2 linked regions of the Macaca mulatta genome follow. The protein of the gene in region 2 interacts with the protein of the main gene of each other region in a biochemical or structural test. Links are inferred from orthologs where the notes say so. Each region holds a gene or a part of one and is shown on either strand. Other genes may lie near its edges. The genes, in order: BST2 and leukocyte immunoglobulin-like receptor subfamily A member 4.

Evidence for each region.
Region 1: the proteins of leukocyte immunoglobulin-like receptor subfamily A member 4 (region 2) and BST2 form a complex in vitro, tested with the Homo sapiens proteins (2 studies listed by IntAct). The link is inferred for Macaca mulatta from reciprocal best matches to the Homo sapiens genes LILRA4 and BST2.

Annotation. Positions count from the first base shown.
Region 1 is NC_133424.1:17,890,717-17,895,281, reverse strand, and holds BST2 (bone marrow stromal antigen 2), read left to right. Parts: upstream 1-1,565; 5' UTR 1,566-1,595; coding exon 1,596-1,889; intron 1,890-2,698; coding exon 2,699-2,765; intron 2,766-2,946; coding exon 2,947-3,007; intron 3,008-3,313; coding exon 3,314-3,440; 3' UTR 3,441-3,455; intron 3,456-3,767; 3' UTR 3,768-4,162; downstream 4,163-4,565.
Region 2 is NC_133424.1:66,650,098-66,654,459, forward strand, and holds the end of leukocyte immunoglobulin-like receptor subfamily A member 4, read right to left. Parts: intron 1,457-4,362; coding exon 1,406-1,456; intron 1,317-1,405; coding exon of another isoform or gene 1,288-1,316; exon of another isoform or gene 1,257-1,287; coding exon 1,063-1,256; 3' UTR 679-1,062; downstream 1-678.

The sequences.
Region 1 (4,565 bases), about 49 Mb from region 2:
CCTGTAATCCCAGCACTTTGGGAGGCAGAGGCAGGCAGATCACTTGAGCTCAGGAGTTCGAGACTAGCCTGGTTAACATGATGAAACCCCGTCTCTACTAAAAGCACAAAAAAACTAGCCAGGTGTGGCCAGGCGTGGTGGCTCATGCCTGTAATCCCAGCACTTTGGGAGGCCGAGGCGAGTGGATCATCTGAGGGTCAGGAGTTCGAGACCAGCCTGTCCAACATGGAGAAACCTAAACCTCTCTACTAAAAATACAAAATTAGCTGGGCATGGTGGCACATGCCTGTAATTCCAGCTATTCAGGAAGGCTGAAGCAGGAGAATCGCTTGAACCCGGGAGGCAGAAGTTGCGGTGAGCCAAGATCGAGCCACTGCACTCTAGCCTGACCAACAAGAGCAAAACTCAGTCTCAAAAAAAAAAAAAAAAAAAAAAAAAATTAGCCAGGCCGGACCACACCTGTAGTCCCAGCTACTGGCAAGGCTGAGGTGGGCAAATCAGTTGAATCTGGGAGGTAGAGGCTGCAGTAAGCCGAGATCGTGCCACTGCACTCTGCACTCCAGCCTGGGCGACAGAGGAAGACTCTGTCTCAAAAAAAAAAAAAAAAAAAAAAGAAAGAAAGAAAAAGAAAAGAAAAGAAAAAGGAAAGAAAAGAAAAGAAAGAGCCTCGCTATATGTCCATGTTCAAGCATTATCTTCCCATCCATCTGCCCTGAGCCACAGGCCTGGCAGGTGGCATGCGCATCCATTGAGCACCTACTGGATACCAAAGCACTTACTTTACTGGCATCTTCTCCCTGGTCACTCCTGGAGAGGCTGGCCCTGTTATTCCCCTTTACAGATGAAGAAACAGGCTCAGAGAGTTTACTTGGTATCCTGGAGTCCCAGGAGCACTTTTTCTGAAAGTTGAAGCCTGTTTCCTGCGGGTGCCAGGACAGAGTCCAACACTGTTTGTTGACTGGGGTATCCTCTCACCTGGGCTGTGTGTGCCTATCCAGTCCCCCAGTTTTCAGCTGGCTCCAGTCTCACCTGCTGCTCACACACCTTCCATGGCTCCCATAGTCCCCTCGGTGGGGACAGGGGCACTGGATGAAGCCCTGCTAGTCACCACAGAGACACCTGAACACAAAACCAAGTCCCTAGGGTCAGACCCAGGCCCTGCCCTCACTCAACTGTGCAATCTCAGTTTCCCCAGGTGGAGACTGGACCAACAATGATGGCCTCTGCCTCTTCAGGTCATGGTACAGATGAATACCATGGCCTAGGCACTCAGTAACACACAGCAGAAGCACAGGGACTTAAGATAGAGTCTCCCAGGCAGCCACAGTTGGCTGGCACCCAGTTGGGAAGGGCCCGAGGCCTTTTAAAGCAGGGTTGAAAAAAAAGCCCACCTCCTTTCTGGGAAACTGAAACTGAAAGCTCTAATTAATCCTCTGCCTGTAGGTGCCTCATGCAAGAGCTGCCGGTCAGAGCACTTCCTGGAACTTGCTATTGGTCAGGACGGCTCCTATGCTAATAGGGGGTGGCCCATAGAAGATTCCAGTACCCTCCCCTAACTTCAGGCCAGACTCCCTTCAGCTAGAGGGGAGATCTGGATGGCACCTATTTTGTATGACTATTGCAAAATGCCCATGGGTGACATTTGGAAGGAAGACGGGGACAAGCGCTGTAAACTGGTGATAGGAATTCTGGGGCTCCTGGTCATAGTGCTTCTGGGGGTGCTCCTGATTTTCTTCATCATCAAGGCCAACAGCGAGGCCTGCCAGGATGGCCTCCGGGCAGTGATGGAGTGTCGCAATGTCACCTATCTCCTGCAACAAGAGCTGGCCGAGGCCCAGCGGGGCTTTCGGGATGCAGAGGCCCAGGCTGTCACCTGCAACCAGACTGTGGTAAGCACCTCAACTCCTTTGGATGGCCTAGTACTAGGGGGTAGGGAGGACAATAATCTCTCCCCAGAAATCTGACACAGGGTGGGTCTCCAGGGAGATGCAAGGGAGGTCCCAAAACTGTTCCTGGGCCCCCACATCAAGGGACCTAGGTTCCCCTACCAGAGTATGGGGGCCTCTAACCCAGTCCAGGACACTGGTGTAGGGGCAGGGTGTTAAAACTCTCCAGAGCCCCCAAATCAGGGACCTCAGTATACCCCCCGGGACTTAGGTGAGTTGATAAATTCTTTCCAGGGCACTGGTGTTGGGAGCCTTGAAGCTCCTAGTGGGCACCAGTCCTGGGGGAGTAGAAACCCCTATTCAGGGTTGAAGGGGGACCTCACCAGACCCTGAAAAAGGGGGCTTTTGAAATTTTCACTTCATCACTAAGAAACTGAAATATTCACCTGGGTCCTGATATGGGGGATCTTGAAACTCTTGCTGAGCATGTCACTTGGGCTGGGAAATCCCACTGCGTTCTGGATTTGGTAGGGCCCTCTAACTTTTCTTGAGCCATAGACCAGGCAATCTGGAAACGTCTACTAAAGTGTGGTTATCGACAGTCTCCAACTTGCCATGTGGGGGGTCTCAAAACTCCCATTTTGAGGACCCACATGCTTATGGGTGGCCCTGGGAGAGTATGTGGTTGTGGCTGTTCTTTAAGGTTGGAGAACATGGTGCAGAGAGGGTTGGAAGAAAACCTGAAAGGGTTTGCATTTAAGGACAGCAGCCAAACTCCCCAGGCCAGAACCCCAGATTCTGACTCTTCTTAGATGGCCCTAATGGCTTCCCTGGATGCAGAGAAGGCCCAAGGACGAAAGAAAGTGGAGGAGCTTGAGGGTGAGAAACAGAGAAGGGAGAGGGCTAGGGAGGGGTGACTCAGCTATGGAAGACGGGGTGGGGGCAGGGAGACCAGGGCTGGAGGTTGGGGGAAGGGGGAGGTCCTGTCCCAGAGTGGGGCCGGGCCCCAGCATGGCCACGTGCTGCCCCGCCCCCTGATTCTGTCCTCCCACCCCACCAGGGGAGATCACTACATTGAACCACAAGCTTCAGGACGCGTCTGCGGAGGTGGAGCGACTGAGGTCAGAGATAACCTTCCCCGCTACCCTCCACCCGCCACACTCCTCTCACCCCCACGTCCCTACCCCGAGACCCAGGATCTCCTTTGCTCCCAAAATCCCCATTGCCCCAAGGGGTAAGGTTTGAGTCCCACAAAAGGACAACTTAGCCCCTAGGGTCACAGAGCCATGGGTGGCCCCAGTCCATTCCCTCCCCAGTGACTTGGATTGGGGCGGTGCGGGGGGAACTCCCGGGGGCGATGGGCTTACAGGGAGGGCGGCAGGAGCCAGGACGAACAGATGCCTGATTTGCCCCCATTTGCACCGCAGAAGAGAAAACCACGTCTTAAACGCGAGAATCGCGGACACGGACTCCGCCAGCTCCCAAGACTCCAGCTGCGCGGCAGAGCCCCCGCTCCTGATTCTGCTGCTGGGCTTGAGCGCTCTGCTGCTGTGAGATCCCAGGAAGCTGGTCAGTGAGGAGGGGGCGGCCCCGGGAGGGAGAAGAAAGCTGGGGAGGGGGGTCGGGGAAGCAGGGACTCCGAAGTCTGGAGAGAGGGGCTGCAGGGGGAGGGACTGGGTGCAGAGGAGAGAGGCCTTGGGGAAGGAGGGAGAATCCAGTGAGAAGGGCGCCCTGGAGGGGGGGTGGGGCTTATAGCAGTATGGGGCGGGGCTATGAATGAGGGCGGGTCTATCGATGGAGGGGAGGGGCTTATGGATGGGTGGGGCGGGGCCCGTGTCTGCTGCCTCCAGTCTGCCCTGAGTCCCTCTTCTGGTCCTTTAGGCATATCTTGGAAGATCCGGTTCCTGCTCGACTTTTCGCCTGGACATGCCCTTGATCTCATCAGTTCTGAGCGGGTCATGGGGCAGCACGGTTAGCGGGGAGGGCACGGGGTAGCCGGAGAAGGGTCTCTGGAGCAGGTCTTGAGGGGCCATGGGGCAACCCTGGGTGTGGGGACACAGTCGGGTTGACCCAGGGCTGTCTCCCTCCAGAACTAGGCAGGGAATGAGTCGCCCCTCTTGTTTCCCGCCCTGAGATTGGGCATGGGGTGCGGTGGGGGGGGCACGTGCTGCCTGTTGTTACGGGTGTTTTATTTTTTTGCGGGGGGGGTGTGTGCTTTTTCTGGGGTCTTTGAGCTCCAAAAAATAAACACTTCCTTTGAGGGGGAGCACACCTTACTCTCGAGTTCCTGAAGTGTCATTGTGTTAGTCCCTAAGCGTCGGGGCCGCCCCTGCCGGTGAGAGTGGACTCCCCGTGGATGACAACACCTCCCTTCCCTGCTCCAGGACATTTTCAGGAGCCCACGGAGTTCGGGGAGGCACCACCCCGGTTCCTCCCAGCCCTCATGTCTGCTGGGATCAACATAAGGACTGTACACCCTCATCAGGGCTCCCCGTTTCCCAGGTGTTTTATTCTCATCTCCTCCCTAGAGCCTCTCCTGATTCCTGGGGATCCAGTGAGGAAACTGAAGCTGTAACTGAGAGTAACATCGCCTTGCTTCCCCTCCGGCCTGCAGAAAGTGCTGGGCTGGGATTTAAACTGGGATCTGTACACACACAGGCCATGCATTGTCAGAATGTG
Region 2 (4,362 bases):
GGAGGAGGAGCCTGTGGGTTGGGGGCTGGGATCCCTGGAGGGTCCTGGGAATGGGCACAGAAAGGGACTGAGGAATTGGAGCTATCCTGCAGTCCCCACCTCCACTCAAAGCTCTCCCCTCCATCTGCCCGGTGGCCTCTCCAAGACCCTCCCTCTCCCCACCTAGCACCTTCTGGACTCCAGGTGAAGGAGACGAGGGAGAACCGCTGTTGGCCTCCTCTCCTCTGAGGGGCGAATTCCTCTGTGGCCGAGCCTCCCTCAGAGCCCCCTTCACTCCATCTCTGCCCAGAGCGCTCCTGGGGGCAGGGCCTGAGCCGAACCTTCGAACTTAGAGAGGGCAGGGTCAGGACCTTTCACCCAAGACCGTCAACCCAAGACCACCAGCTCCGACTGGGGTGTGACAGCAGGTCGGGGAAGGTGCAGTCATGTGAGAATCTTGAAGCTGCCCATGAAGGGAGTGTTTATACCACAGTCATCAACAAATTCCACAAATAAATGCTTTTTAGAAAACGTTTTTGTTGTCGTTCAGGAAGCCAGTCTATGGGCACAACAGCAGGCTTTTCCATCAGACACCTCTCTTTTGATTCCTAGTGACTGTATTTCTAGAGAAACAACAGATGGAGAGTGACAGGTGGTAGGGCATCACTTTGAACTTAAATTTTGCAAATGCAAATCTGATTTTTGCACATGGATTTAATTATCAAAAGCAAATTCCATATTATGAGCTGAAAAGATAGTCCCAGTAATACACATCAGAAAATGCACTAGCTAGAAATAAAGAAAGATGTATTACCTGAAAGTGGAGCAGAGCATGAGGTCACAGAGGAGTGGACCCAAACTCACCATAGGGGCAAAACCTTACATCATAGGGAAGAAAAAGGAAGGGAGGGGCAGTCAAGGAGAGTCAACAATGAGGAGGAAAGCACCACAGTTTAGTGGAGGAAGCATCTTCTACAGACACCCAGACACCTTCCTGCACCTGACCCATGCTGCTTCCCCTTGATATTCTCAGCAGACACTTCCCCAACTGCTGCCCCAGTCTTGCAGAACCTCCTGGGATCATCAGATCTGTTCCCAGGGCTCCACCACTCTGAAGGGTGCATTGTCTTCTCTGCTGTTCACCTCCTGGCTGCACCTTGTGGGGCTTCTCTGGCTCTGCTGAGCCTCAAATAACAGAATCCCAAGGAACACCAGGACCAAGCCAGCTATACCCATGCGGATGAGATTCTCCACTGTGTAATCCTGGAGGTGTGGGGCTAGGGATGGTGGACAAAGAGGTCACAGAGGTCAGGGCAGATCATGATTACCCAGGACCCCTGGATGTCCACCCAGGGTACCCACCTCCCCTTGACAGGACCTGACCCTCTGTGCCCAGCCCCATAACTGGGAGCATCTCCTCACTCACCAGTCTTGGAATCTGACTTATTTTGTGCTGGATTGAGGGTCTCAGTTGCTTCTAAAAATCAAAGAACAAGGATGTTGGCAAGAAGCTGAAGAGCCTCTCCCCCAGGCTCTGCTTTCTTATATTCCTCCATCTCTCATGGTGTGGCTTTATGTAGATCCTTAGTGAACACATTCTCTGCTCTAGCAGGCCTCCCCTGGTATGTCATTGGGGTTTTCAACCTCTCTCTGCTCTGGGAATTCAGATCTTGTGTCTGAGTCACTTTGGAACAACGTTTCCTTGAGCCCAAGAGCTCAGGACTAGTGAGAAGAATGATCTCCCAACTAGAAAGAATTGAGCTCTTGTGTGCTGTCTTGGATGTGCAATCTTGTGCAACAAGAACATAAAAACTAATTCCCCCAGAGACAGAAATTTCCATTTTTCAGTGGATGAGGACCCAGTCTCTGTGGATGAGGAGTTGGTCCTCGGTAGCTCTTGAAAGTCAGGAGTACAAGGACTGAAGGCTGCGATGGCCCCCGCTGCGTGCTGCCTCAGCCAGCTCCCCTGCGGTTTCATCATTCGTTTACTGTCTTGTTAACTAATTCTTCATACAGTTAGGAACACCAACAATGTGATATACTTAAATATGAAAATGTATTGTTTTCTAAATGATAATGACTGAGCGGGACAGAAAAACATCATTTCTGCTTTTTTGAAGTATGAACCTAGATTGGAAGGTGAAAGCAAATATTTAAAAACATACCCAAACTTGAAGTAAAATAAAAAATAAAAACAAATAAATATAAAAAAATGATGAAAAATATTAAGCATAGGAATGAATACTTGAATGTATGTTTGTGTCTATATATGTACATAGTACATATATTCATATAAAATATATGTGATTAACATGGCTTATAAAATACATGTGATTAACATGGTTTGCATTTGTGTCCCTTTGAAATCTCATGTTGAATTTTAATCCCCAGTGTCGGAGGAGAGGCCCAGTGGGAGGTAACTGGTTCGTGGGAGCCAACTTCCCCCTTGCTGCTCTCATGATAGTGAGTTTTCATGAGATCTTGTTATTTAAAAGTGGGCAACACCTCCCCGTTCTCTCTCTTCCTCCTATTCCAGCCTCAGAAGACGTTCCTGCTTTCCCTCCACCTTCCGCCATGATTGTGTTTCCTGAGGCCTCCCCAGCCATGCTTCCTGTATGGCCTGTGGAACCGTGAGTCAGTTAAACCTCTTTCCTTTATAAATTACCCAATCTCAGGTAGGTTTTTGTTTGTTTGTTTGTTTTTGAGACAGAGTCTTTGTCTGTCCCCCAGGCTGGAGAGCAATGGTGCGATCTCAGCTCACTGCAGCCTCTGCCTCCCAGGTTCCAGAGATTCTCCTGCCTCAGCCTCCTGGGTAGTTGGGATTACAGGCACCTGCCACCACGACCAGCTAATTTTTGTATTTTTAGTAGAGACAGGGTTTTGCCATGTTGGCCAGGCTGGTCTTTAACTCCTGACCTCAGGTGATCCGCCTGCCTTGGCCTCCCAAAGTGCTGGGATTACAGGCGTGAGCCATCGTGCCCAGCCTCAGGTAGTTCTTTTTTTTTTTTTTTTTTGAGGCGGAGTCTCGCTCTATCACCCAGGCTGGAGTGCCGTGGCGCAATCTCAGCTCACTGCAAGCTCCGCTTCCCAGGTTCACGCCATTCTGCTGCCTCAGCCTCCCAAGTAGCTGGGACTACAGGCACCCACCACCATACCCGGCTAATTTTTTCGTATGTTTAGTAGAGATGGGGTTTCACTGTGTTAACCAGGATGGTCTCCATCTCCTGACCTCATGATCCACCTGCCTCGGCCTCCCAAAGTGCTGGGATTACAGGCGTGAGCCACCGCACCCGGCCCATCAGGTAGTTCTTTATAGCAGTGTGAGAACTGATTAATACAATGATTGTAGATACATATGTATATGTGGCTTTAGATATTTGTCCTAAAAAATATAATGTAGGCCGGGCACGGTGGCTCAAGCCTGTAATCCCAGCACTTTGGTAGGCCGAGACGGGTGGATCACGAGGTCAGGAGATCGAGACCATCCTGGCTAACACGGTGAAACCCCGTCTCTACTAAAAAATACAAAAAACTAGCAGGGCGAGGTGGCGGGCGCCTGTAGTCCCAGCTACTCGGGAGGCTGAGGCAGGAGAATGGCGTGAACCGGGGAGGCGGAGCTTGCAGTGAGCTGAGATCCGGCCACTGTACTCCAGCCTGGGCGGCAGAGCGAGACTCCATCTCAAAAAAAAAAAAAAAAAAAATATATATATATAATTTAACTACATATATATTCATAGTTGAGGTGAGAAAGAGGGGCTTACAATTTGGAAATATAAAAGTGAAATTTCCAGTTTTTTATGGTTGATATAAACAGCCTCAGCGTCTTCCCCTTGTCCATGTCAGGCCTGGACCCCGGGACCCCAAATCCTGCTCAGATAGAGGAGGACAGACCTAGCTCCTCTGCCCATCATCGCTGCTCCCTCCTTCCTGCCTGGTCCTAGGACACCTCCCTCCCCTCTGACCACCACAGAGGGAACACCTGCCCCATCCTCGGGGCCCCAGGAAGCCACGTGGACTATGCCCCTTTTGTCCACTCTCCCCTCTGCTCCCTTTCCTGAATATTGGAGATAAGGTTGAGACGAGTCTAGAATATTATACTGGGTCAGAGTAACTGCGTTTTCATCTCCCATGGGGTCAGGACTTAGAGGTTGGGACACCCAGACGTTGATTCTGAGATGGAGACATCAGCAGCAGAGTGTGTGGGGCCTCCGTCTTCCACCCTCAGTCTAATCTCATCTCCTCCGAGGCTCACCCCCACCTCCTTCCAGTCCTCTCCACTCTTTACCCTACTGAGACTTCAGGGCTGGGAGCCCCGGGTGGGAAGTCCCCATCTATTTCCACACTCCCCTGGCTAGACCTTCCCCTGGGTGGGAGGTTCCTGTG